Linked DNA regions of Callithrix jacchus. The protein of the gene in region 1 interacts with the protein of each later gene in a pairwise test. Links are inferred from orthologs where the notes say so. Each region holds a gene or a part of one and is shown in the gene's direction. Other genes may lie near its edges. The genes, in order: KRT40, LAGE3, MXI1, ZNF202, CCDC185, RWDD2B and SNAI1.

The links.
Region 2: the proteins of KRT40 (region 1) and LAGE3 interact in binary tests that used the Homo sapiens proteins (3 or more experiments, as listed by UniProt). The two-hybrid records come from large-scale screens. The link is inferred for Callithrix jacchus from reciprocal best matches to the Homo sapiens genes KRT40 and LAGE3.
Region 3: the proteins of KRT40 (region 1) and MXI1 interact in binary tests that used the Homo sapiens proteins (3 or more experiments, as listed by UniProt). The two-hybrid records come from large-scale screens. The link is inferred for Callithrix jacchus from reciprocal best matches to the Homo sapiens genes KRT40 and MXI1.
Region 4: the proteins of KRT40 (region 1) and ZNF202 interact in binary tests that used the Homo sapiens proteins (3 or more experiments, as listed by UniProt). The two-hybrid records come from large-scale screens. The link is inferred for Callithrix jacchus from reciprocal best matches to the Homo sapiens genes KRT40 and ZNF202.
Region 5: the proteins of KRT40 (region 1) and CCDC185 interact in binary tests that used the Homo sapiens proteins (3 or more experiments, as listed by UniProt). The two-hybrid records come from large-scale screens. The link is inferred for Callithrix jacchus from reciprocal best matches to the Homo sapiens genes KRT40 and CCDC185.
Region 6: the proteins of KRT40 (region 1) and RWDD2B interact in binary tests that used the Homo sapiens proteins (3 or more experiments, as listed by UniProt). The two-hybrid records come from large-scale screens. The link is inferred for Callithrix jacchus from reciprocal best matches to the Homo sapiens genes KRT40 and RWDD2B.
Region 7: the proteins of KRT40 (region 1) and SNAI1 interact in binary tests that used the Homo sapiens proteins (3 or more experiments, as listed by UniProt). The two-hybrid records come from large-scale screens. The link is inferred for Callithrix jacchus from reciprocal best matches to the Homo sapiens genes KRT40 and SNAI1.

The regions. Positions count from the first base shown.
Region 1 is NC_133506.1:92,275,914-92,280,175, forward strand, and holds the start of KRT40 (keratin, type I cytoskeletal 40), read left to right. Parts: upstream 1-1,462; 5' UTR 1,463-1,503; coding exon 1,504-1,950; exon of another isoform or gene 1,951-2,645; coding exon 2,646-2,728; exon of another isoform or gene 2,729-3,359; coding exon 3,360-3,516; intron 3,517-4,262. UniProt on the Homo sapiens protein: May play a role in late hair differentiation.
Region 2 is NC_133524.1:150,271,164-150,274,556, reverse strand, and holds LAGE3 (EKC/KEOPS complex subunit LAGE3), read left to right. Parts: upstream 1-1,435; 5' UTR 1,436-1,470; coding exon 1,471-1,658; intron 1,659-1,961; coding exon 1,962-2,090; intron 2,091-2,311; coding exon 2,312-2,426; 3' UTR 2,427-2,446; exon of another isoform or gene 2,447-2,700; 3' UTR 2,701-2,893; downstream 2,894-3,393. UniProt on the Homo sapiens protein: Component of the EKC/KEOPS complex that is required for the formation of a threonylcarbamoyl group on adenosine at position 37 (t(6)A37) in tRNAs that read codons beginning with adenine.
Region 3 is NC_133513.1:103,218,345-103,221,844, forward strand, and holds part of MXI1 (max-interacting protein 1), read left to right. Parts: intron 1-1,482; coding exon 1,483-1,597; intron 1,598-2,218; coding exon 2,219-2,390; intron 2,391-3,500. UniProt on the Homo sapiens protein: Transcriptional repressor. MXI1 binds with MAX to form a sequence-specific DNA-binding protein complex which recognizes the core sequence 5'-CAC[GA]TG-3'. MXI1 thus antagonizes MYC transcriptional activity by competing for MAX.
Region 4 is NC_133511.1:23,371,644-23,375,589, reverse strand, and holds the start of ZNF202 (zinc finger protein 202), read left to right. Parts: upstream 1-1,146; 5' UTR 1,147-1,258; intron 1,259-2,280; 5' UTR 2,281-2,400; intron 2,401-2,581; 5' UTR 2,582-2,693; intron 2,694-3,946. UniProt on the Homo sapiens protein: Transcriptional repressor that binds to elements found predominantly in genes that participate in lipid metabolism.
Region 5 is NC_133520.1:5,346,495-5,350,591, reverse strand, and holds the start of CCDC185 (coiled-coil domain-containing protein 185), read left to right. Parts: upstream 1-1,297; 5' UTR 1,298-1,325; coding exon 1,326-3,224; 3' UTR 3,225-4,097.
Region 6 is NC_133522.1:35,080,590-35,084,826, reverse strand, and holds the start of RWDD2B (RWD domain-containing protein 2B), read left to right. Parts: upstream 1-1,437; 5' UTR 1,438-1,587; intron 1,588-4,237.
Region 7 is NC_133506.1:45,529,566-45,532,878, forward strand, and holds the end of SNAI1 (zinc finger protein SNAI1), read left to right. Parts: intron 1-1,838; coding exon 1,839-2,023; 3' UTR 2,024-2,813; downstream 2,814-3,313. UniProt on the Homo sapiens protein: Involved in induction of the epithelial to mesenchymal transition (EMT), formation and maintenance of embryonic mesoderm, growth arrest, survival and cell migration.

The DNA.
Region 1 (4,262 bases):
AAAGATCGTTTTCTTTCAGAGAGTTGTGATTTTTTTGAAAGTGTTTTTGAATCCTTGAACTTGTGTTTGTTGCAAAGCAGCATCAGCATACCATGAAGCACTCTAAAAACTTTTCTCATAAGTGTTGATGTGTAAAGAGAATCACTAAATTCAAACTCAACTCTGCCCAGGGAGTAAGAGACTATTTTAACTCACTTACATATGTTCTCTGGCTTGGTTTGGTTTGGTTTCTCTTCTCAGCTACCCAGGAAGCAGCACTCAAGATTAGGAGAAGAAATAAGTTTATTTTGGATCATAAATTTTTTAACTTTTTCAGATTAATGTGTTTTTTTCCTATAATGTTCTTAAAAATTCTAGAGGCAATTTTCTCTGTGCACCTTTGAAAATGAAATACATGTCATGACTAACGCTAAGCAAAGTGAAATAGATTGTACTTCATAACGGAGGTGAAATTCAAGAGAGAATCCAAAAAAGTCACACATCTCAAGCTCCTATCTGTCAGATTTGGCATCAGAGATTTCAACCAGTGGAATTAGTCATTTGGAACCTGAATAGAATTTTATTTCCCAAGTTCCAGTATGTTTATACATCTCAGAAGCAAAGACTCCTGTGGGTTCCTCCCTCTTTTCTGAAGTATAATCACTGAGGAATTCCCAAGGGACTAAAAGATTATAACTTAGAAAATTTATATTTCACTCTTATTAGGAATACAGGTAAAATTGTATGACTTATCTAAAAATAAGAAGTGTGGAGAAGGCAAGTTTCAGGAAGTCAAAGATCATAATTCCAGCTCTAACCAATATATATTTTAACTTACAGGAAACAAGTTATTCCTATCAGTTGTGTAAAGAGACTTTTCCATTTGTATGCAGGTAGACATGGTTTGTACACACACACACACACTCACACTCTTTAAACCCAGTATATACCTCACTTCTCCAGTCCTGTCAGCACATGCTCTAAGATCACAAAAAGCACTGGAAGATTGCTAACCACACTGACCATTTTTATAGTGGTGGACAAACAAATGAATGTCCTTTTATGAGCCGTAATACTAATTTTAAAGAAGACACAAGCAATCAATGCACAGAATCAAAATCTGTGGGAATATTAATTTCCTGATTTGTAATGAGTTGTATCTATAATTATTGATTGGCCAAATGTTCTCTTTCTTTTCTTATTCTGTCAAAAAGACAATGCTTCCTATGATGATTTTCTGAAATAAGTGTTTTGTCTTGCACATGGAAATGGTGTGGGCCCTGCTTTGGTAACCTAAAGTTATCCCCCTTTTATGAGGCATACAACTCTTCTTCAGTAAATAAACAACTCTAATGAGATGTTTGTATAAAAACCGGCACCATCAATGATGACGAAAACATCCGGTGCAGTCTGTAAACACCCATTTTGAGGGGGCGCTATATAAAACTCTCAGGAGGGAAGGAGTGTTTTGGAGTCAAGGCAACTGGTGTTTTGCAGCCAGTCTCTGTCTTTGCTTCTAGAAGGATGTCTTCTGACTGCTCCTCCACGCTCTGCTCTCCTGAGTCCTGTACCAGGGCTTCCTGTTGTGCACCTGCCTCAAGCTGTTCCATGGAGACAGCTTGTCTCCCCGGTTCCTGTGCTGCATCCCGATGTCAGACCCCTAGCTCCCTTTCCAGGTCTCTCGGGCTGACCGGTTGCCTCCTGCCATGCTACTTTACTGGGAGTTGTAGTAGTCCCTGCTTGGTGGGGAACTGTGCCTGGTGTGAGGATGGAGTGTTCACTAGCAATGAGAAGGAGACGATGCAGTTCCTGAATGACAGACTCGCCAACTATCTGGAGAAGGTGCGCAGCCTGGAGGAGACCAATGCAGAGCTGGAATCCAGGATCCAAGAGCAATGTGAACAGGATATCCCACTGGCATGTCCCGATTATCAGTGTTACTTCAACACCATTGAAGATCTCCAACAAAAGGTGCATGTCCTGTTGCCCTAGTGCTCCAGCTTCTCGATCTATGGTTTGCTTTATCTTTCTACTAGAAGGTGCTGTTTTACAGAAGGAAACCAAGAGAAAGGAGAGTTCTACAAGTTAATGGTACATAGGGAAGAGCACTGTGCTGGAAGTCGGGAAACCTCAGTCCCACCCCTAAAGCTACCCCTGATTACTGAGTAACTATAACAAAGTAACTTGTCTGTGGACTTTTCCTTCGTCATCTATAGAATGCAAAAAGACTGTGTTATATCCAAAATCGCTTTTGTATGTGACACTGAACATTTATATTATCTGAACACAGATCATGAAATGCCATCTTTTTAACCACCTAGTCATTTTCTTCTCTCCCTGATGAATTTCCATTATGGGAGAGGGTATAGTCATAATACAAACTACTGATGGAGAAAAACGTTAATGGCGTTCCACTGCCTAGGAATAGTGCAAAATGTCTTATGTTATGAGAAAAAGTGAACCTTTTTATGTCTCTATTTTGTTTCTGAATTGGCACTGCTTGTTTGCTTCATCAAGTGACACGGTGAATACGGAAAGCAGCTAACGGCCATTTTACACTTTCTTATAAAGACTTTCAAAGGATAACTAATGGCATAGCTGTTGGATAGTAGTTTATTTAGGTTTCTCTCAAAGAATACTTTATTAAATAAGGACTTTCTTCACAGATCTTATGCACGAAGGCAGAGAATTCTAGACTTGCTGTACAGCTTGACAACTGCAAACTGGCCACTGAGGATTTTAAGTCAAAGTGAGTTGAATTTTATTTAATTTATTTATTTTGAGGTGGAGTTTCCCTCGTTGCTCAGGCTGGAGTGCAGTGGCACTATCATGGTTCACTGCAACCTCCGCCTCCTGCGTTTGAGCGAGTCTCCTGCCTCAGTCTCCCAGGTAGCTGCGATTACAGACAGGCATGTGCTGCCATGCCCAGCTAATTTTTGTATTTTTAGTAGAGAAGAGGTTTCACCATGCTGGCCAGAATGGTCTCAAACTCCTGACCTTAGGTGATCTGCCTGCCTTGGCCTCCCAAAGTGCTGGGATTACAGGCATGAGCCACCACACCCAGGCTTAATTTTATTTTGAAAATAATTTATGGCGCTCTCTCTCTCTCTCTCTCTCTCTCTCTCTCACACACACACACACACACACACACACACAAACACACACACACTCTCTCTCTCTCTCACACACACACACAAATATTCTCTATATAATATCTTAAAGTTAAGAATGTCTTAAAAGCTTGAATTTATCATTACTCAGGAATTAAGAGAAATTCTGCATGTGGCTTCCTGAAATTCATATGTCGATCCTCCATGTATCCTCACACTTTGCACAGCATTCAACAGAATAAGTGTTGGATTTCTCTTTTGCTGTGAAAGGTACGACAGTGAACTGTCCCTTCGCCAGCTGTTACAGGCTGACATCAGCGGCCTGCATGGAATCCTGGATGAGCTGACCTTGTGCAAATCCGACCTGGAGGCCCATGTGGAGTCTCTGAAGGAAGATCTTCTTTGCCTTAAGAAAACCCATGAAGAGGTAAGGAAAGTGGCAACTCCGTTGAAGGACTCCAAGAGTGACATAGTTACACTGACAGATGATCTGTTGATGTTTGTGAATAGAACTAGGGCAGATGTTGCTTAAGCTAGACTAAAACTGCTCAAGGCATTATTACTGCTCAGCCTGATCATTCCAGTGTGTCTCTGAATTAAGATGTGAAATACCCCTGGCCAGTGCCAGACGAAGAAATCAAACTCTTCTCCTGCCCCTGCCTTTGTGGAGAAGGTGAATAACTCCACAAATGGCTTTCCTTGGAGGTTTTATGCCACTCCTAATTCCAATCCACCGGCTATAAAAATCAGGCTGAGAAACAGACTGTGAAGGCCATTTCAAAAAGAGAGAAAGACCCGTGCACTATCTGGACCAGTGTTTTTAAATATTCCACATTTATAAACTTTTAAAACTCATAAAATATAAAGCAATTGATATATTAATAAAGCTAGAAAATGAAAAGCTGAATGACGTAACAAATTACTTTGCTCTTTGAACATTTTTTGATGGCAATCATAGCTAACATTCATCGAGAACTTACTATGTGCCAGGACATTTATAAGTTAATTATATGTAGATTAATTCTTCTAGATCTCACAATAACCTTTGGGAGAAATGTCCAATTATTATGCCCATTTTACAGATGAAGCAACTGAGACCCTTGTAAGTGGTGAAAAGAGATTCAGCCTAGGCAATCTGAATAAAAATCTCACACTTTTACCCACTACTCCAAA
Region 2 (3,393 bases), on another chromosome or scaffold:
TTATTTTTGGCCAGGTGCGGTGTTGCGTGCCTGTAGTCCCAGCTACTCGGGAGGCTGAGGCTGAAGGATCGCTTGAGCCCAGGAGTTCTGGGCTGTAGTGCACTATGCTGATCGGGTGTCCGCACTAAGTTGAGCATAAATAGGGTGACCTCCCGGGAACGGGGAACCACCAGGTCGCCTAAGGAGGGGTGAACCGGCCCAGGTTGGAAATGGAGCAGGTCAAATCCAGTGCTGATCAGTAGTATTGCACCTGTGGATAGCTACTGCACTCCAGTCTGGACAACATAGTGAGACCCCGTTTCTAAAAAAAAAAAAAGAAAAGAAAGAAAAGAAAAGTTACTTTTGTATTTGTTGTAGAGATGTGGTCTCACTATGTTGCCCATGTTGGTCTTGAACTCCTGGGCTTAAGTGATCCTCCTCCCTTGGCCTTCCAAAGTGCTGGGATTACAGGCGGGAGCCACTTAGCCTGCCCTAAAGTGGCATTTTCTTTCTTTTTTTTTTGTAGAGACGGGATTTCTCCATGTTGGCCAGGCTGGTCTCGAACTACCGACCTGAGGTGATTCCCCCACCTCCGCCTCACAAAGTGCTGGCATTACAGGCGTGAGCCACCGCGCCCGGCCTAAAGTGGCATTTTCATACTCATAGTTGTGCAGTCTGATTTTCCACGTTATATGAGACCTAGGCACAGCGCCAATACTTGCGTTCAAGGCCGTCATATTTCGCCTCAGTGCAGGCGTTCTGCTGACAGGCTCCCGCTCCGCACAGCGCCCCCACCCCGCTCTAAAATGCCTCCTCTAAAATGTAAATCCGACTCTTTACCGTCCACTGTGAAGCCCCCTCGGTTGGACCATGGGGTCGTGGGCAAGAGCAGTATCCTTGTGGGGGGGTATCAGACCCCGCCACCGTCCCTCCGCGAGTCGCTGCATGCACGTTAGTGCCACATCTCCGGGGGATATTGGGTACCGGTAAGAAACAGGGCGGGAAGCGCCCAGACACCCTCGGGCCTCACTAGGGCCTCACTAGGGCCTGCCCGGCCGAGGCCACAGGCCCTAGACGGCGCAGGCGCGCTGCGGTCACAAGGCGCAGTTAGGGGCGGAGCCTTGCAGGGTGCGCCTCTGGGCTAGGCGACCACGGGGTCTTCAAAACCCCGTCAGGGCTGGCTTCCTGGGGCCTGACTGACTGTGGGTCACTTTGCACTGACGGCCTGGGATCGAGTTACGCGCGAAGGGACAGAGTTTCTGGAGGAGACCGCGGCCTCTTAACCGCTGACTCGGTCTCAGAAGGCACCCGGCAGGGCCGCTTGGCGGGAACTGACCACGCGCCAGGCAGGCTTCCCAAGAACGAGTGCCGGCGCGTGTGGGCGGAGTCGGGCGCAGGGGGCGGGGATTCGGGAAAGGGACCGGGAGAGAGGGCGGGGCGTGGGGGCCTGCGCCTCGGGGGTGGAGTCCGAGCTGCGTGGCGGCGGAGGTCATGCGGTGCGCGAATGCACACGCTGGCGCAGGCACAATTGGCAGGGATGGCCAGGGTGGCCACAGCTGCCCCAGGGGCACGGACACAGCGGGAGCTCCGGCTGACGAACCTTCCCCACCGCACCCGCCAGGTCCTGGCAGAGACGCCGCATCTGCGGCCAGGGGTTCAGGAATACGGCCGCACATATTGTATTCTTTCCAAGGGGAGGTCGGGAACAGACTGGCGGCTGCCTGCGCCGGGGCGAGGGCTGGATTCGGGGAGGAAGAAAGGAGGGCGGGCGGCGACCGGGGTAGACGAGCAGGGGTGCTCGGAGGAGGGGAAGAAATAGAAATGGAAGGAGAGAAGCCCTGCCAGCGGTGGCCTGGGCCACGTGAGGAGTAAAGCGAATGACTCTAGGTAGGGTGACCTGAGGGGGGGCTTCAGAGGATCAAGAAGGCCTGAGACATAGGCAAAGTCGTATCAGATGGCACCTTAACCGAATGCCCCCCCAGCACCCTTAGTGTGCCTTTCCCGACCCCCTTGGAGGCGGAAATCGCGCATGGGTCCCTGGCTCCAGATGCCGAGCCCCACCAAAGGGTGATTGGGAAGGATCTCACAGTGAGCGGCAGGATCCTGACCGTGTAAGTTCTGAAAGGGGCTGGAGTTGGGGGAGGCAACCGATGGAGACGTAGGGGGCACCCATGGATGAACCCTAAGGAGCGCCAGGTGCGCCGGGCCGGTCTCCACCTGAGGGGCTGTCTCATGGGCTCCCGAGGCTTTGCTGTAATGGGTGCCTGAGCGGCAGAGTGACGGACCAGGAGTTGTCACCTCCAATTTTATTTTCTTTATCCCTCACTTTTAGCCGCTGGAAAGCTGAAGACTGTCGCCTGCTCCGAATTTCCGTCATCAACTTTCTCGACCAGCTTTCCCTGGTGCTGCGGACCATGCAGCGCTTTGGGCCCCCCGTTCCCCGCTAAGCCTGGCCTGGGAAAATGGGGTGAGGTCTAATATTGCGTCTCCCTAGGTAGGGCACCCAGCTTTCCCTAGGGCAGGAGTTCCCACAGTTGCTATTTTCCTGTGAAAGCCTCATGGTCGGCCTGTACTGGCCCGTGGGTGCTCAGGGGCCCCTTGTTTGATCTGGTTCTTAAATGTTTGTTACCACAGAAAATAAAACTGAGCTACTGTTCCAAGTCTGAGTTTATTTCAGCTACAGCACCTCCCAATATTCTAGTCATTGTGCTTCGGTTACAGGGGAGGTTCTAGAATCCAGATATTCAAGGAAATTGAAGACAATTTAGGAAATGGAAGAAAATGAAAATCAGCTGGGCTCTCATTCAGCATCAACTACTGTCAACATTTTGGAATCCTTCCTTATAGTTACATTTATTACAGTTGTTTTCCCCTGAAGTTAATAGTAATAAACGTGTAACTGTAATATACAGCATATAATTTTTGCAAGTTTAGCGTTAATTTTTTTTCCTGAATTTTAAATCTAACATGAGCTTCTTTCCTCTAACAGTGAAGAAAGTGCTGGGTCAACTGACTAGTGTTTGGGGAAGGAGTTGGCTCCCTGTAAATACACTAAACTCAGTCTTAGGACTCTTTTGTAGATTCAATTGGATTTTCTGAGAGTGGAAATAAAGAGGTACAACTGCGTATCCTCAGAAAACATGGAAACGGTTTGATCCTTTTTAGTCTTTCTCTGAAGATGTGCTGCATGGGACTGGAGCAGCTCTTATGGTAGACTTCAGTTTCCCGGCTATGGAGGCAACAAACACCATTCAGGGCACCCTGGCCAATGCTGCCCAGGTGAATATGAGCTTCTGTATCCTGGTGGGTGGGGACAGCTGCTAGTCCCTGTCCTGCTTGCATACTGGAGTCACCTTTCTTCCTTTCCTGCTGGGGTGATGTCTTTCCCTGGCCTTGGGTAGCTTCCTCACATGC
Region 3 (3,500 bases), on another chromosome or scaffold:
AGAATCCATGGATATACTTTTAATTGAGGGATTCCTTTATCCACATTAGTTATGTCAGGTTTCAGCCTGGACCCAATTATTAGACTTGAGGTATTGAACTCAATCAAGAAATTTGGAATGGAAATACTGTCAGACCTTTAACTATAGTTGGGTTAGTAGGTGCTGAAAGAATCTTAACAATTCATCAGCCAAACCTCTGACCTCACTACCCTTAATCATCCTTGCTTGTCATGACATAATTGGCTGCTTATTGCCTTCTCCTACCCTCTTTCAAATTCCTAGCCTTTGAGCATTTCACTTGACATTATTTCTTGTCTTTTAAGACAGAGAAAGTGCATAGTTTGGTGTGTGAATTAGCAAAACCATTTTGGTCCTCTTTCAGAAGAAAATGGAGGGTGTGTATTTTGTTCTTGATGCAGTTAAGACAGTTACTAAAAGTTTGATTATAGGTCTTTAAGGAGTTAGGGGTAAACTGTGAACATATTTGTGAATTTTCTGTTCAGATACACTGTTAACTGCTGAATTATTCCTTGTGAAAGATGTAGAGTAGTATTGTTTTAGGATGAAGTTAAATACTGAGAACTCTCTCGTCACTATGATCATAGTTCTTTTAGGGCACAGGAAAGGTAAATCCAGGAGGTTGAGGAGAAATTTCCTTCAACTTTCCCACAGGAAGGGTAGATTAGAGAATGCAATGAATTTCAGTAAAGAATTTTTGTCACCTGTTGTCCTTGTCGACTGGAGGCAGGTGGAGAGAGAAGAGAAAAATAAATATTAAGCTAATAAGCTAGTACAGTTAAGAGGCAGGGGATTATTTTATGAGTTATTTCTGTGCCTAGAGTTGACCATAGGGCATATATTTTGTCTAACCCTACCCTAGCTGGCCACAACAGAATTTTGCTGTTTCTGTGGAGTATAAGAAATCACCATTTTTATAAGTGAAAAATGGGTGAATATCAGAAATTTCATATGGTTCAACCTAATATACAACAAATGTAACACTGTAGGATGGCTACAGTTGTAGAGAGGTAGGTTGTGTATGTGTGTGTTGTGTGTGCAAGTAAAAGGTAGGAGGGAGGAAATAGAAACTTAAGAGCATTTTATACTCCCTTGAGGTACTACAGCTGAAAACCCCTCCTCTTGCCTATGGTTTTATTCAAGATTAAATTGTCCTGGTATGTTTACACACTTCCATATTAATATAGTTGAGACAGTTTATGGGGTGAGTTAAAAAATAAACCATCTTGACAGAGATTACCATTGGGGATAATAATCTAAAGTGACTGTTGTCTACAGAGTACAACAGAAATAGCAGACTGAAATGCAGCCACCCCCTACACTTGCGGATTCTTCGAAAGTGGAGAATTAGGGGTGTAACATCCACCCTATAGGCTGAATAAATGCAAATTATTTATCTGAAAATAGGTTTTATGATATTTCTAGTGGAATATCCAGATTGTGTTGACTTTTTGTCTTTCTTAGACGAGCTCATCTGCGCCTTTGTTTAGAACGCTTAAAAGTTCTGATTCCACTAGGACCAGACTGCACCAGGCACACAACACTTGGTTTGCTCAACAAAGCCAAAGCACACATCAAGGTGAGAATTTTTACTTTCAGATTTGCATAATTCACTCAGTTCTGGTTTAATTATTGGCAGTGATTCCTATTCATATACATCAGCTAGTTCACCATGCCCTCCTTAATAAATGACCTCAAGAGAAATCTTTCTAAAAACTTATCAGCTAATCTGATGGGAACAACATAACCTGATTAAACTGTTTTGACAACGTGGCCATTTGAAGAGCTGGGAACACCAGGAAAATAACAATTACCTTCTTCATACTCAGAAGGAAGGCAGTTGTGCCCTCTGGTGGAGATGACTTCATTTGGCTGTGTCCTTCAGTATTTTTCCATCAAATACCACACAGAGGAAGTTTCTCCGTGGAGATTAGTTTACAGGCTTTTAGAAGTCCATCTTGTTCAAGTAGCATAGCATGCATTACGTACACAGAAAAGGAAAAGACAGAACTATATTTTATTTTTAAAAATATGTATTTATATACATTCACATTTTGGAGGCTTTAAACAATGTGTATATTTTACACACACACACACACACAATTTGTGTATATTCATTCATGTTTTCTCTGCCAAAGAAGGAATCAGTTTTATTGTTTGTACTGGACTATACACAAATGTAAATACCATTTCATTTCAGAAACTTGAAGAAGCTGAAAGGAAGAGCCAGCACCAGCTCGAGAACTTGGAACGAGAACAGAGATTTTTAAAGCGGCGACTGGAACAGCTGCAGGGTCCTCAGGAGATGGAACGAATACGAATGGACAGCATTGGATCAACTATTTCTTCAGATCGTTCTGATTCAGAGCGAGGTAGGCAGCTTGCCTCTTCTATAATGGAATACTAAATACCTCTGTATCTGGAGATATAATGAAATACTAAATATCTCTGTAGGTGGTATGTTGGGAGGCACTGTATTTACTTTCTTTCTAGCCAACTGTAATATTCTAGGTTTTATGCAATCATAATATTGTCTAGCAGTGCCAGTGTGGACTATAAAACTGTTTTTTTGAATACATATATATACACACACACACACACACATATATATGTATGTATATGTGTGTATATATATGTGTGTGTGTGTGTGTGTATATATATATGATGCAGTTAAGACAGTTACTAAAAGTTCAATTACAGGTCTTTAAGGAGTAGGGGTAAACTGTGAACATATTTGTGGATTTTCTGTTCAGATACACTGTTAACTGCTGAATTATGCCTTGTGAAAGATGTGGAGTAGTATTGTTTTTAAGATGAAGTTGAATACTCAGAACTCGCTCATCACTATGATCATAGTTCTTTCAGGGCACAGGGAAGGTAAATCCATGAGGTTGAGGAGAAATTTCCCTCAAAATGTTTATTTTTTTAACTTTCTATTTTGAGATAATTTCGGACTTACAGAAAATTTTAAGTTTCCTATAGAAAATTATAGAGTTCTCATGTAACTCTTCACCCAGCTTCTCCTAAAATTAACATCTTATATAACCACAATACAATTATTGAAACCGGCAAATTAACATTGATAGAGTACTATTAAGTAATCTACAGATTCTATTCAAATTTTACCAGTTTCCCCACCAACATACTTTGTCTGGTCTAGGATCCTATGCAGGATCCCACATTGCATTATAGTTCCTTGGTCTTTCTTTCCTGACAATAACACTTTTGAATAGTGGTCAATTGTGTTATACAATGTCCCTCAATTTGGGTTTGTCTGATGTTTTCAAATGATTAGATTGCGTGTATACATTTGGGCAAGGAATGTCACGGAAATGATGTTGTGCCCTTCTCAATCCATTTTGTCAGGAAGATACATGATGTCAATGTTTTTATTACTGGTGAAGTGAATTTTTATATGTAGAGTTCAAAAAATACCACATCCTTAATTTCTCTCTCCATCTATCCTAAAATATTTGTCTTTG
Region 4 (3,946 bases), on another chromosome or scaffold:
AAGAAATAACAATACTATTCTCTGAGCTTCTGATGTTCCAATCAGTTCATGAGCAATGTCTCATTTAGTCCTCACAGTAAAGGTATTATTATGCCCATTTTATATTGTTGTAACCGAGAGAGCGGGAAATCACCACTGAGACAAAGACTAGGCCAAATTACAGGGTCTTTATTGCAGGCGGCCACGGAGGACTTGGGTCTCTCTAACCCGTGGCCCCAAAAGAAGGGTGTCAAGACCTTTTATGCCCGTTAACCACCTCCTGGGCAGGGGTGAGGGTGAGGGGCTTCGGACATTCTGAAGGCCAGTGGACTTTGGAATTCCGCAAACCACCTCCCGGGCGGGGGTGAGGGCGAGGGGCTTTGGACATTCTGAGGGCCAGTGGACTTTGGACAGTCCATAAACCACCTCCTGGGTGGGGGTGAGGGTGAGGGGCTCTGGACATTCCGAGGGCCAGGGGACTTTGGACACTCCGATTGTTACTTAAGTGGTTCACAGAAATCAAGATAAGCGTTAGTTTACACATCGCCTGGGTAGGGTGGAAATTACAGACCTTAGTTACTTATTACAAGTCACAGGGGCCAAGATGGCGTGGGTTTGGACTGCTTGCCTATCACATTGGGGTTACAGAGAGCAGTTTCCATGCAAAGCCGAAGTATGGTCGAGGTATGCAGTTTATGGGGCAATTACCATGTCACAATATGATGCACACTAGGGTTCAGAGATGGGAGATACTGGGCCGAGGCCCTGATGCTGATGGTGGATGCAAGAGCCAGTATTCAAACCTAACGCTGCCCTTTTCTACCATGCTGCCGCAGACAATGCAAAGAAAATATCAAGAAAAACACATCGATGTATCCAAAACAATCACACAAAAGACTAAAAACAGAAAACAAAAAGAAGAATCTTGCAGAAGGTATACGTATAAATGAAAAGCCTAAGATATTAACTTATTCGCTGCAGAGTAGGGTTGGTCGCAAAGGGAAGCCGTGGGGTCCAAAGCTTCTTTGCACTGGGTCTTTGGCGAACACCCGAACCGCAACCCGCGGAGAGCGGAGAGGACCAAACCTCCCACAGCCTAGAAAGGCTCCAGCGCGGCGAGAAGGCGGGGCTAGCGTTCTCTTCCGGTTCCGGGCGCAAAGGCCCCACGTGTTCCGACCCGCTAGGCCCCGCGCGGCTCGGATCCGGCGGCGCTGTTTCGATCGGGAGTGGGTGGGAGAGAAGCCGGGGCAGGGGAGGAGCCGCCGGAGCTGTCGGAGCCGTGAGTGCTGAGGGGCCTGGGCTGGGCCGGGCCGGGCTGGACCGGGCCGGACCAGATCGGGCAGAGCCGGGCAGGGCAGGGCGGGGAGGAGGGGGAGGGACCGGAGACCCCGCCCCCCGAGAGCCTGGGGAAATCACCGTGTCCTGGGGAAGGGGCGGCGGCGGTGTACTGAGGGGACCGAGACGTTGTGGCCTCTGTGTTTCCTGGTGGCGAGAGCCAGTGTCTCCGGGGACGCGGATGGCGCTCCTGGCTTCCTTCCCTTTCCAGCCACCGCCCTCCGCCCCCTCCTGGGGCCTGCAGAAATGTAGTTAGTCCGTACCTCGTACCTCCCATCGCTTCCGCGCCACTGTCCCCCCGGAACAGAGGGAGGAGTGGTCTAGGCCCCTTTATTTTCCTCAGCCTTTTTTCACCCCGACTCTCAGATTGCTTAAGATCATCTCCGCGGGTTCCTTGCCCCGGCGAGCCCTATCTCCTTACACCCCCAAGCTCCCTTCATTCCCCTCGCACACACTCGGATACACTCACCCGTGATCTTATCACCTGTGATGATAGTAGTCCTTGGCGTCCATCTGGCCAGTGGCTTTTCAGCTACCACTGTGACAGACTCTTGAGCTTCCCCTCAAGCCAGTAGCTGCTGTCTCCACTTGCAACTTTCCTCTCCCACTCCTAACAGCCAGTTTTGGCACCTCTTCCCAGCACTAGCATTACTTTTAGCAGGAGTATACCTGCTTCTTGTCTGTCTTGATTTAAACTTTGTTAGTTTGCGTGCCCTGGATAGGCTGTGTTCTTTCAGAAAGCTGTCAGTTTAATTTTTGTTTTTCTGAACAATGAATGTTCTTATCGCCTAGGCGCTTTGATAATCCTGTCTGCCTTGGAATCTGTACTGACCTCCCCAGAGGGAGACTCTTAGACCCAGCCTTTCTTGAACCACCTTGATCCTGGGGAGCAGCGCCGTATCCCAGGCTCTCCCTTAGAGGCTGGGCTTAGAACTGTTGTTTTTTTTCTCTATCCACGCTCTGCAGGTGACACCCAGGGCAGCTACACTCAGAAGCCACAAGGAAAACTAGTGGAGCCTCTCATCCCTCCCAGCTTCTCTTCTAAGCTGCCCCGTGGGGCTTGATCCAGGAAGCTACTTCAGAAAGGTTGTGGGATAGCCGTGAGAGGCTTGTTGGTGGGAAGCGTGGGAACGCGGAGCAGTCTTGGAGAACTTTCTGCTGTTACTATGTAGCATAAGAGGGTGGGCAGGGTTGGAGAGAGGACAGGCATTTTTCCTCCTAGGACCAAACACCTGGGATTCATAATCTTTCACCCTTTTTCCTCCAGCTATACACTTTTTGTACTCTTTATAGTATATTGCAGTAGACAGTCATTCCAAGGGTACAACAAGGTTTACTACAATGTGAGGGACTCAGCCATTACAAATTGTACAGATGAGGTAAGTTACAGATTTACATTTTTTTCCCCAGTTAATTTGGCACAGATTTAAAATGTGAAACAGTTCTAGACCCCTTGCTTTTACTGTTCTCTCACCAGCAAACCCTTTAATGTAGCCAACAATGGCTTTCCGCATGAACTTCAGATTTAGTTCGTTTGCTTCAGGTGATGGTTCTCAAACTTACTATAAGCACCTGAAGGACTTGTTAAACACATACTGCTGAGGCCCTCCCCTAGAGTTTCTGGTAATAGGTCTGTGCTGGGCTTGAGAATGTGTACTTCTAACAAGGCTCAGGTACTGATGCTGCAGATCTGGGTTCTTCACTTTGAGAACAACTACCTTTTGGCCAAATGTAGTATCACCTTGCAGTAGGTTGGGGTTCAGAAGACCCTTGTTTGAGCACTTCTGTGTTGGAAACTAGTAATCTGATCTTTTGTGGATAATTTAATCACCTAGGTCTGAATATTTTGTTCGTAAAATTAAGAACGTGTACTTAACTGAGTACTATATGCTAAATTTGAGGTGAAATATTGATGAGTTCTTCCCGTTGGTTTTCTTAATTCTCTTGATAGGGACATCACTTTTTGATCATATAAATTACACCTGTATTCTGGGCTTTTGCTGTGAATTCCTAGTATTGCTAAAATCCTGCTATTTCTTAACTACCTGTTAAGTTCCTTAAGGTCAGACCTTCTGCTTTTTTTGTCTTTCTCTGCCCAGCGCCTTGAATAGTGTGGGATACAATTGATGCTCAGTAGATACTTGTGGGTTGATCTCCATCCCTTGTCTTTCTCCCCTCTTGAACTTTTTCTCCCCTGACCTTATGCTATACAGTAAAGCAGGTTATGCTTATGCCACCTGATTACCCCAAGAGATTGGAATGAATGCTAATGCCAAATTCCTGCAGCTATCCCTGTGAACGGTTTATTACCCAGGAGCCCTGCCGATTTCTGAATTTTCAGTGTTTCTAGAATATATACAAGTTGGGGAAGGAGAAATAGAAAGCTAAATTAAACTCAACATGCATTTATTGGGCACCTTTTCTACTAAGGGCTTGACAAAGTGGTAGGCACTGGGAATATAAAAATGAATAAGGAGATCCTTGCTCTTGAGGGCAGGGCCCACAGTGAGGAGACGGACACTAAGCCATGCCCACAGCAAGAATGACTTCTGGGATTACTTCTTTGGGTCATGATTTGGTCTTCAGTGGGAACCTGGTACTCCTCAGATTCCTCTGGTTCAGCAGGCAGGGA
Region 5 (4,097 bases), on another chromosome or scaffold:
TTAGCATGGCACCAAAATAGTATTTATTGAATGTATTCTGGTGCCAACCTCTGGATGCACAATTTCACCTGAGCTTCACAACAGTCCTGTAATGCTGGTATCATCAGGCCCCTCTTCCCACTCCACCTTGCTGGAACTGGAGGTGGGGAAGCTTAGGGAATTTGCCCAATAAAGTGAAGAGTGGTGGAGGAAATTCAAATTCATTTTCTCTACCAAATCCAGTGCTTTTCCCATTAGCCAAGGGTGCCTCAACAAGAAACAAGAATCCCACAAAACTGGAGGAAAAGGGCAAAAAATAATGTGATTTCAGCATGGTGTTCATTGATGCTATTGCAAAAATGTGCATGTGGCATTCATATTTTGACTATAGCAGTAATTACCACATTAGGGAATAGAGTCATCTCCTTCCTGTTCTAAAAATCTTAAAATATAAACATTAAAGCATACTTTGGGCTTGCTAACTTAAAACGGCAAAAGGGTGGTGTCGCTTTGTGTGTGTGTGTGTGTGTGTGTGTGTGTGTGTGTGGCCCTCGGCCCACTGCAACCTCCATCTCCCGGGTTCAAGTGATTCCCCTACCTCCGGCTTCGAAGTAGCTGGGACTACAGGCACCTGCCGCCACGCCTGGCTAATTTTTGTATTTTTAGTAGAGACAGAGTTTCGCCATATTGGCCAAGCTGGCCTCGAACTCCTGACCTTGTGATCCACCTGCCTTGGCCTCCCAAAATGCTGGGATTACAGGTGTGAGCCACCGTGCCCGGCCTGGTGTCGGGTATTAATATGCGTCCAAGCCTTTCTATTTGAGCACACTGCAGAGGTACACACATGGCGGACGGTGATTCTGCAGCTAAGGGTACCTCCTCCCTGAAACTGTGCCTCGGCCTTTCTACCCACCCCTTCCATTCTGAGGGTGACGCCTTCACCTGGGCTGTCTTAAAATCCTGCTATTTTTGTGCAAATGCGAGTTCAAACTTCTGCCTCAAACACTGGTGGGGGGACACTATGCACCTGCAGCTTTAAATGTCACCCTGATTTCCTACAGACCCCCTCCTCCAATCTGCAACCCCTCTCTCCCCCACCCCACCCCCACCCCCACCCCCATCCTCAGCCTCCTGTCCTTCCCATTCTAGGTTGCTAGCAAGGCTGGGGTGGGCGGCACCGGGCCAAGGCTGAGGACTGCGGGGACCCAGCTACCAAGCGCATTGTGAAGTGGCTGGAACGTCACAGGCGACCTAGACCTCGGGACCGGGGGGCGGGGCCGGTGTCTGCAGCGTCCTATGAAGGTCTCAGGCCCCTTGCGCAGACGCTGCGCGTGCCCAGAGGGAGGATGGCAGGCTTCGGTCACTCCTCCCCGCGGCTCTACCTGGACCTCTGGGAACCCCCACGGCCGGGCGAAGAGCAAGAGACCAAGCAGCGGCTGGGCAGGCAGAGGTCCAGAGCCGGCCCTGCCGCTTGCTCCCGGGCCGGGACTCTGGGTGCGGAGAGCGAGGATGGGGGGCCCTGGCTGCACCCGCACTGTTCGTTCACCCCACGCCCTCGCAGACGCGAGTGCCCAGACTCACCACGGGGCAGCCGAAGCCTGAGCGACGTGACCTGCAGGCCACTGGACCGAGCCAGGAAGCACGGGCCTCGCAGCAGGCGCCTGGAAGATGCCTGGGGAGAGGCAGGAACCAAGCCCCGCCAGGCCTGGCAGCCGCAAACCCAGCTGCTAGGCCAACGACAGCAGCCCTGCCCGCATTACCCTCTGGCCCAGGGAGACTCGCCCCCGCCTTACCCCGGAGAAGCTGGTACTCCCCTGAGTGGCACATTCAGGATAGAAAAGGCACAGGGTGGAGACCAGTGGGCAGTGCCGCTCAGCAGACGTCTAGGTCGCTGGTCCCCTTCCTTAGTTCTCTCAGAGCGGTCTTCTGTGCCCTCCCAAAAGTTCAGGCCACACTCGGCCTGCATGTGCACACAGAAGAGAGACAGCAGCGACCAGGTTGAGTCATTAGCCAGCCAGGACTTCCAGCCCTCGGCCTCCAGCAAAGAGAGGCGGAGCCCGCACACCCAGGTGTTGAAGAACAAGCTGGAAGAAGCAGTGATGTCCTCCCAGGACCAGCGGATTGTGGCCCTGGTGCTGATCCGGCTCAAGAAGGCCCAACGGATGCGGGAGCTGCAGCAGCAGGCGGCTGAGGCCTGGGAGGAGCTGAAGCGTTCAGATCAGAAAGTCCAGATGACCCTGGAGCAGGAGCGCCAGCAGCTGCTGCAGCAGAGCCAGGAACAGTGGCAGCAGGAAAAGGAGCAGCGCAAGACCCTCCCGGGACATGAGCAGCGCGGCCAGCGGCGGGACAGCCAGGGGAAGAACGTGCCCCCTGGGGAAAGCTGGTGGAAGGAGCAACCGGAGGACCAGGAGAACCTGTGCCAGGAGAAGCTGGAGAAGGCGCGCGCCCAGGCAGAGCACCAAAAGCAGTGCCAGGTGCGGTGCCTGCGGGAGCAGGAGAGGATGCCGCGGAACATGAGGGAGCAGCACAGCCTGCAGCTGCAGAGGAGGCTGGTGGAGACCTGTCGCAAGAGGCACCTGCATGCCGCAGAGGGCCAGAAGAAGGTCCAGGACACCAACCTGAGCTCCCTCATCAATTACCAGGCCCGGAAGGTCCTCATGGACTGCCAGGCAAAGGCCGAGGAGCTCCTTAGGCAGCTGTCCCTGGAGCAAGGTTTCCAGAGGTCCCAAGAGATACACCAGGGCCTGATGAAGGAGCGGCACCGTGAGATGAGAGAGAAGGCCCAGAAGGAGGAGGAGCAGTTGCAGCAGGCCAAGTGGCGCGCGGGGGAGTCCGGGGAGCAGAGGAAGATGCACAAAAGGATTCTGGTGGAGCTGGCAGATGAGAAGATCCGGCAGGCCAGGAGTCATGTGCACAAGACCGCCAGGGACAAGGTGCAGCGCCTCCGGGAGCTCAACCACCTGCGTGAGAAGAACCACCACATCCTGAAACTGAAAGCCGAGAAGGAGGAAAAGTGCCACATTGAGGGCATCAAGGAAGCCATTAAGAAAAAGGAGCAGAGGGTGCGGCACATTACCCCAGGGAAAGACTCAAACTTACAGGAGTTCCGGAAGCTCCCGCAGGCCTCCAGGAGAGAGAACAGAGGAGCAAGGAGCAACAGCTCCCTTGATCAGATAGAACTAGAGGCCCGCTCCCTGCCTGTCGGCAGAATGGGCGCCACTGAGAGCCAAGGACGCCAGGCTTAGAGGGAGCAGCCAGAAGGAGATGTGGCAATGTGATTCCTTTTATAATCTGATTACAATTGAACATTGATTTTTAAAAAGCATATAAAATTGCTGCAATTTCCTCTCATGAACTGGTTTATTGATTCACTTGGATAGTTTAGAGGGTTGGGGAGAAAATTTTGGGAATTTTTATGAAAATAATGTGGCTTTGTGAATTTTGATTTGAATAGAAAATACTCACTTAGCTCTCGAGTAATCTTAGAAACACATAATGGGCACATTTTGGAGATACCAGAGAAAAATCTCTAGTCAGGGATACAGTTCTGTGGTATGTCTTAAGTCTCTTCCAGTCCCAGAACTTATGGAAGGGTAAAGTATAAAGTACCTGTCATATGAAATCTCCAAGATAAAAAGAAAGTTTAAAAAGTGAGAAGTGGGAGGATTCCTGTGAACAAGCAGATTTGGGAGCCCTGCATACTGTGTCCTCTCTTGGGAGTTCATAATGCAATTTAAAATGTTAACGGCTCTGAAAAAGCATCAGTAAAGAAACGGATTTGTTTAATGTAGTGTTTTTCACAAATTATAGAGCGCCCCCCCCCTTTATTTTCTCAGATAATTTCATGGAATTGATGTTCTGTGAAACATTTTTGGAAACGGCCCTCTATAGTTTTTACCTGATTGTCAACTTCTCTGGCCTTCCCTCCCTGTGTTAATAGGAAGTGTTTATAACTCCAACAGCTCTATATCTTGACTATTCCACCATAGCTACACCATCTGATATGGTTTGGCAGTGTCCCCACCCAAATCTCATCCTGAGTTGTAGGTCCCATAATTCCCATGTGTTGTGGGAGGGGCCCTGGGAGATAGCTGAATCATGGGGGTGGGGGTTTCCCC
Region 6 (4,237 bases), on another chromosome or scaffold:
AAAAAAAAAAAAAAAAAAGAAGAAAAGAAAACAGATAGATTGATGAGATATGTGACAAAGCTGGTAGATTAAATTCTATACCTCCAGGTCAGTGTTTTTCAACCTCAACACTATCAACATTTTGGACCAGCAAATTCGTAGTTGTTGGGGGATGTCCTGTTCATTGTAGGAAGTTGAGCAGCATCCCTGGGCTCTACCTACCTCATACCAATAGCATCCTTCCAGTTGTGACTACCCAAAATGTCTTCAGACACTGCTAAATCCTTCCTTCCCCTTCTCTTGAGATCTGCTCCACGGTAAAATTCTCTCGACTTTGCTTAACACTTGAATTTTTTCCATAATGTTGGAGGAAAAAATAAATGGTGACATTGAAAAACGCTTATGAAACACCGTGCAGATGTAGTTTATGAAGACCTACATACTAGCATCTATTTGTTTTTAAAAAGGGGTGGGGAAGAGCTAGCAGTGATATCTAGTATTGCTGAATAAGATTTGCAAATCTTATCTATGACATTTCTCAAATGAATATTAGAAGCATATTGCATATAGTTGGATTGGGAAGAAAAACATTTCCAATTACTCTCCTGTCAGCATCTTCCTACAAACTATCCTTTTATTAACAGGGATAAATAAATAAGCATTCACACAGATCCTCCCAGCTTGGTTACTGGGCAAGAACACATAAGATAGACAAGGCTACCTGCATCTGGGCTCCCATCTCCCTAACTGCCCTTCTCCTCCATGGTTCAGGGACAAGGAGGATCACCATGGTGTGGGAAGATATTAGACATGCAGAATTTAGAACCCTACCCCTACCTACGGAACCCTGATCTGCATTTCAACAGAATCCCCAAACTATTCCTAGGCACCTTGGAGTTTGAGGAGCATTAACGGACCAATACCTTATCCCTGAAAAGTGCCCGCTATACGACAGTGACAGCCACTGTGAAATGAAAACGGGGCTGGCATGTAGCGGTATTAGCCGGGCGTGATGGCTCAGGCCCGTAATCCTAGCACTTTGGGGGGCCGAGGCAGACGGATCACCGGAGGTTAGGGGTTCGAGACCAGCCTGACCAACATGGTGAAACCTCGTCTCTACTAAAAAATACAAAAATTATCTGGGCATGGTGGTGCGCGCCTGTAATCCCAGCTACTCAGGAGGCTGAGGCAGGAGAATCGTTTGAACCGGGAGGCGGAGGCTACGGTGAGCCGAGATCGCGCCACTGCACACCAGCCTGCGCTACAGAGCGAGACTCCGTCTCAAAAAAAAAAAAAAAAAAAGAAGAAGAAGAAGGAGAAAACTGCAACTGAGCAGGGACAAAGCATTCCCTCCGTCCTTCCAACTCCAGAGACAAACACTGGCGGACACCGCGCCAGACAGGCCAGCACCAGCTTCCGGCCCGCGGTCTTGCGCGCGCATGCGCCAGCCGAGGGCGCGCCCTCTTTTCCAGCGGGTCGTCGACTGAGGCGGTTTGTAAGTTTGGGGTCGCAGTATGCTAGAATTTTGAGGTTCCCTCCTGATAAAAATTGAGCTGTCCGTCCAGCCAAGGAACCCGGAGTACAGCAGTGAAGGGGCCACGGCTCAAGGTAAGTCTCGCTTCAGCTAGCGCCAGTGGTGAGTGCCACAGGGCTTTCCCACGCTGCAACTCTTTCCGAAATTGTTTGACAGGGTGCGCATGCGCCCATCGGTGGGCTCGGCTTTTGGCCTTGGCTCCCCGCTGCAGCAGGGGACCTCGCCCAAGGCACAGTCTGAGTGCGGGGGCGGCTGCATGCTGGGCATTCTTCCTGAGAGCATCGCGGCTTGAGTTGCGGAGTACTGTATTCTGTTCTTCAAAACAAATCTGCAAGGAAAATAAATTATTCCACGCAGAAATCTCAAGTTTCAGTCTACGTTCTCTTAAATATATTTTATTTTATTTATTTATTATCTTTTTTTGAGACAGAGTCTCACTCCGTCACCAGGTGCCAGACTGGAGTGCAGTGGCACAATCTTGGCTCACTGCAACCTCCGCCTCCCGGGTTCAAGCAATTCTCCTGCCTCAGCCTCCCGAGTAATTGGGACTACAGGAGCGCGCTACCACGCCCAGCTAATTTTTTTGTTATTTTTAGTAGAGGCCGGGTTTCACCATGTTGGCCAGGATGGTCTCGATCTCTTGACCTCGTGATCCGCCCGCCTCGGCCTCCCAAAGTGCTGGGATTACAGGCGTAAGCCACTGCACCTGGCCTTGAATATATTTTATTTTAAAAAAATAGTTAGGCGCGAGGTCTCCCTATGTTACCCAGGCTGGTCTTGAACTCATGGGCTCAAACGATCCCTCTTCCTCTGCCTCCCAAAATGCTAGGATTACAGGCGTGAGCCACCGCATCCGGCCACAGTCTATTTTCTTAAAACATTCGTTGAAATCTTGAGTCATAAAATTATCTTGAGGGTTTTCTGGAAGTACTTAAATCTCTTCAGCGAAAATAATTTGGCAGATAAATGACTTGTGACGTCACTCCCCTACTTGTCCATTCAAGTGTCCCTGCATCGCGTACTACTTTGCTAATTCCAACTTCGATATCCCAAATTCAGTAGGACCTTCTCCCAACTTTACTTACTCGGGAGACTTTTAAACAAATACGTAGGTCTAAATAAGTGTTGACTCCCAAAATTATATCTCCAGCTGAGTCTCATACACTCCAAAATTGTATGTCTAACTGCCTGCTAGACATCTCTATTTAACAGGTGTCTTAGTAGGCACTTCATTACTTGCGTCTAAAACCAAGCTTCATATCCCCGTGAGCATCACAGTCTAAATAAATTGCAGATCCATGCTTCCGGTAGCTTAAAGCCTTGGAGTCATTGTTACACGTCTCATATAATTCATCGGTAAATACTGTTGCCTCTGCTCTTTCCATATATCCAGAAGCTGAAGCTTACTGTCTTGACCACTATAATCCTATCCAAGCCACCATCCTCTCTCCCTAGTTATTGCAGTGTCTCTCTTGTCACCCCACTTTTCCCTTCACTATTCTCCATAGCAGCAAGTGTGTTTAAGTCAGACCTCTCAGGGTGGCTCTTAGGTGTCAGGATAAAATTCAGAATTCTGGCCATGCTGTAGTAGTCCCAACATAAACTGCTCCACATTTCCTTACTAAACTCTTCTGTCCCCTGTTTCCAGCTCACTCTGCCCTGGCCAGCTGCTCTAGCACCCGCCTGCCTCAAGGCCTTTGAACATGCCCTTTCCCTCGAACACTCTTGGCCAAGAAAAACACAGGGCCTTTTTTTTCAGTTCCTTGAAGTCTTCACTACAGTCCCCTTAGGAGAAAGGTCTTTCCTGACAACCCCATGTGCAGTCTCACCTTTTGCTGCCCCATTGTTTCCCTTTAACTTGTTTTCTTCCTCAGACTTTTTCATAATGGTTATTCACTGGGCATATAAATACTTTTTTTTTTTTTTTTGAGACAATCTCAGTCTGTTGCTCAGGCTGGAGTGCAGTTGGTGTGATCTTAGCTCACTGCAGCCTCCACCTCCCCAGTTCAAGTGAGTCTCCTGCCTCAGCCTCCTGAGTAGCTGGGACTACAGACGTGCTTCACTGCACTTGGCTAATTTTTGTATTTTCAGCAGAGACAGTGTTTCACAATGTTGGCCAGGCTGGTCTCAAACTCCTGACCGCAGGTGATCTGCCCACCTCATCCTCCCAAAGTGCCAGGATTACAGGCATAAGCCACAGCACCTTGACTGGGCATATAAATTATGTTTTTTTGATGTCACGGTATCCTTCCACAGGTAGAGCTGTTTTGTTACTTTCATTCATTGTTATCTTAGTGCCAATGCTTGAACATAAGAAGTGCTTGAGAAACATTTGTTGAAATGATGATTGATAATAATAATGGTAACAAGCAGCCCAACACAGTGGCTCATGCCTGTAATCCCAGCACTTTGGGAGGCTGAGGCAGGTAGATCACCTGAGGTCAGGAGTTCGAGACTAGCCTGGCCAATATGGTGAAACCCTGTCTCTACTAAAAATACAATAATAAGCTTGGCGTGGTGGTGCACACCTGTAATCCCAGCTACTCAGGAGGCTGAGGTGGGAGAATCAGGTGAACCCAGGAAGCGGAGGTTGTAGTGAGCCGAGATCGTGCCACTGCACTCTGGCTAGACCCGGTCTCAAAAAAAAAAAATTTTTTTTTTAATTAATAATTATAATAGTAGCAAGCACTTATTTAAAATTTACTCTAGTAAATAGTAGCAAGC
Region 7 (3,313 bases), about 47 Mb from region 1:
TCCTTTCTCTTTTGTTCGTGTGTGTGCCATCACACTTAAAGCACTTACTGTGCAGGAGGCAGTGCTCAGGCTCACCACAGCCCTGGGAAGGGGGTACCATCATAACCCGCCCAGTCTTACGAATGGACTCCAGCCCCTTTACCAGATCTCCAGAGTCAGCCCTTAGTTCACAAGTGAGAACTTAACTTTCTCTTTCACATGAAGACTCAGAATGCAATCAACAAACCCTGCAGGCCCAACGTGCGGAGTAATGGCAGAGTGGAGTAGTATGCTCTCCCAGCCATCCCCTCCCCCATCCCCTAGGTCCCCCACCCTGTGGAGTGGTACATTTCCAGAGACTGAGCCCAGCTCTCAGGCTCTCCGTAGGTCCCTGTTGAATGTATAGGTCCCATTGGAAGCATCCTCTGGACTCCCTCCTACCCTGCTAGCTCAGTGAAGCACCCTAGGTACCCAGGAGTTGATGGAATTAATTCACTCCCAGCTCTTAAATTTCATCCAGCACTGGGATTTAACAGCCAGCCCTGGCCTTAGGGCATATCGGACTGGGTGTGAAGGGATAGGAGAATTGCATATTTTTTAAAAAGACTGTTCAGTATTATAGAATAGTGTGTAGCACATAGTAGGAGCTCAATAATTTAAAAAAAATTTTATAGACAGGGTCTTTCTTTGTTGCCCAGGCTGGTCTCAAACTCCTGGCTTCAATCAATTCTCCTGCCTCACTCGGCCTCCCAGAGTGATGGGATTACAGGCATGAGCCACCACACCTGGCCTCCATAGGTTTCTGTTTAAAGAGTAACTATTATTACTTTTTGTTTGGAAAATGCTGTGTCCCCAAAAAAAGACAAAACAACCTGATTGGTGTTTTTGGAACTGTAGGCTTTTGGTTGGAGCAGAGATTGTGATGAGGCACGAGTAAGGGGCAGGCTCCTCTGAGGCCTTTTTATTTTTAAGAATACTTATTTCTTCTCTAAGGGCTTATTGAGGACTGAGTTCCCAACACAGCCTTAGCCAGGCAGTTGGTGTGTCATGGGCACTGGTTTCTGTAGCCTCTTGGGTGGTAGAAAGGGGCCCAGGCCCTGGGCTGGGCTTAAATGGACTCAGGGAAGCCCCTGCCCTTATGGGATTCGGCCTCATTGGAGAACAGACAAGGAGATTTGGGATTTCGGCACAGGAGGTGGGGTGGTGAGCAAAGCAGGATGCTGGCCGGGCCCGGGGGTGGCCTAACCACCTTGCAGTGGGGGTGGGGAGGCCTAGTAAGGCTGACTCTAGCTTTGGCCCCCAACAAAATAAATCAAGGAGTGACTCCAGGACCACAAGGCACACCAGCCACATCGTCCGTTGACTGAAGGCAGTAAGGACAGTGGGTGAAATCAGAGGCTTTGGGGTCCTGCCAGGGGACCCTGAACATGCTACTTCTGGGCCTCGGTTTCACCCTCTCTGAAATGAGGACCACTGTAGGATTGAGTGACAGTAGGACCAATCAGTAAAAGTGTGCAGTCATCATTGCACCCCTTCCCACGTTCCTGCAGGATGATGAGTGCTGTACCCCATCTCCTGCCACTTACCGACCCCTATGAGTGGGGAGCGAATAGCCCCATTTTACAGGTGGAAGATGCAGGCTCAGAGAAGCCAGACAGCTTGCCTGGGGTTGTACCGTGGGAAGCAGCAGAGCTCTGTCAGGTCCTGGCCTTTGGAGCCTGGATGCTCGTTTCACTGTGGCCTGGCTTTCCTGGGATCATGGGATTCTTTCAGGTTTTGGGGCACGTGGGGAGGGATTCCCATCGCTGCCAGCTGTTGTCCCACGGCTCACTCAGCCTTTCTGGCCATTCTCTCCCCAGGCGAGAAGCCCTTCTCCTGTCCCCACTGCAGCCGTGCCTTTGCCGACCGCTCCAACCTGCGGGCCCACCTCCAGACCCACTCGGACGTCAAGAAGTACCAGTGCCAGGCATGCGCTCGGACCTTCTCCCGAATGTCCCTGCTCCACAAGCACCAAGAGTCCGGCTGCTCAGGATGCCCTCGCTGACCCTCTAGGCTCCCTCTTCCTCTCCTTACCAGCCCCTCCCTGACAGCCTCCCCGCAGTTCCAGCGGGAAGGGCCCAGGTCCTTCTCACTGAATTCCCTCCTGAGCACCCCACTTCTGGCTGCCTCAGCCCCACAGGACTTTGATGAAGGCCATTTTCTGGTTCTGTTTCCTCTGCCTGGGTCCCTCAGTGGGCTCTGGAAGAGGCCTGCCCGTGGCAACTTCTGTGGAGGGAGGGCAGCTGGCAGCCCCAGGCCGGGGGCTGTCCTGAGCTGGCCTTTCTGCGTGGGTTTTTGTATCCAGAGCTGTTTGGATACAGCTGCTTTGAGCTACGGGATGAAAGCGGACTCCTACCCCACTCAGGGGACCCTACTCCCCTCACCCCCACCCCACAAGGAACCCTCAGACCACCCTCCATGAGGTGTGACTGACTATGCAATAATCCACCCCCAGGTGCAGCCCCGGGGCCTGCGGAGGTGGTGGCAGACTGCTATTTCAACCTCCTGTTTGGCGGGGTGGCACCTGTTCCCGGGCAATTTAACAATGTCTCAAAAGGGACTGTGAGTAATGGCTGTCACTTGTCGGGGGCCTGAGTGGGGTGCTCTGGTCTGACCCATGTGTCTCCCAGAACTATTTTGGGTGCCTGACAGGTGGGCCTGGGAGGAAGATGTTTACATTTTTAAAGGTACACTGGTATTTATATTTCAAGCATTTTGTATCAAGGAAACGTTTTGTATAGTTATATATGCAGTTTATTGATATTCAATAAAGCAGTTAATTTATATATTAAAAAGTTTCTTTGTAATAGAGGGGTGGGTGTTTTGAAAGGTCTTTGGTAAGGGAGAAGGGGACAGGAATTCCTGAAGCTTAGATATTCTGACACAGCCTTAAAACTTGTCCTTGGGAAACTCACAGGGCTTTGGAGTCCTGGGTGACACTGTCAGGGACCTTATGAGATGGGTTTTCCCCTTGGCCCGGGTGTCTTGCCTGCTGGCATGTGGGTGAGCCGCCAGCGTCCACATGAGCTCTTCACTATACACTGTGGCTCTTGTTTCCTTTCTTGAATTTTGAAGCTGATCTGACCCTCGGGGTGCAAAGCTGGCTTCCTGGGTCTTACCAGCTAGGCAGGCTGCAAAGCTCTGTCCCAGCACTGCAGGTCTTTTGGGGTGGGATTGCCCGTTTCCCCTAGATGTGAGTAGAATTTGACCAAGGAAACAGAGGATGTCCTTCCTGTTTCCAAGGGCTCCGGGCCCCTCGGGCCTCCGTGTCAGCCCCACACCTCTGTCTTGTTGC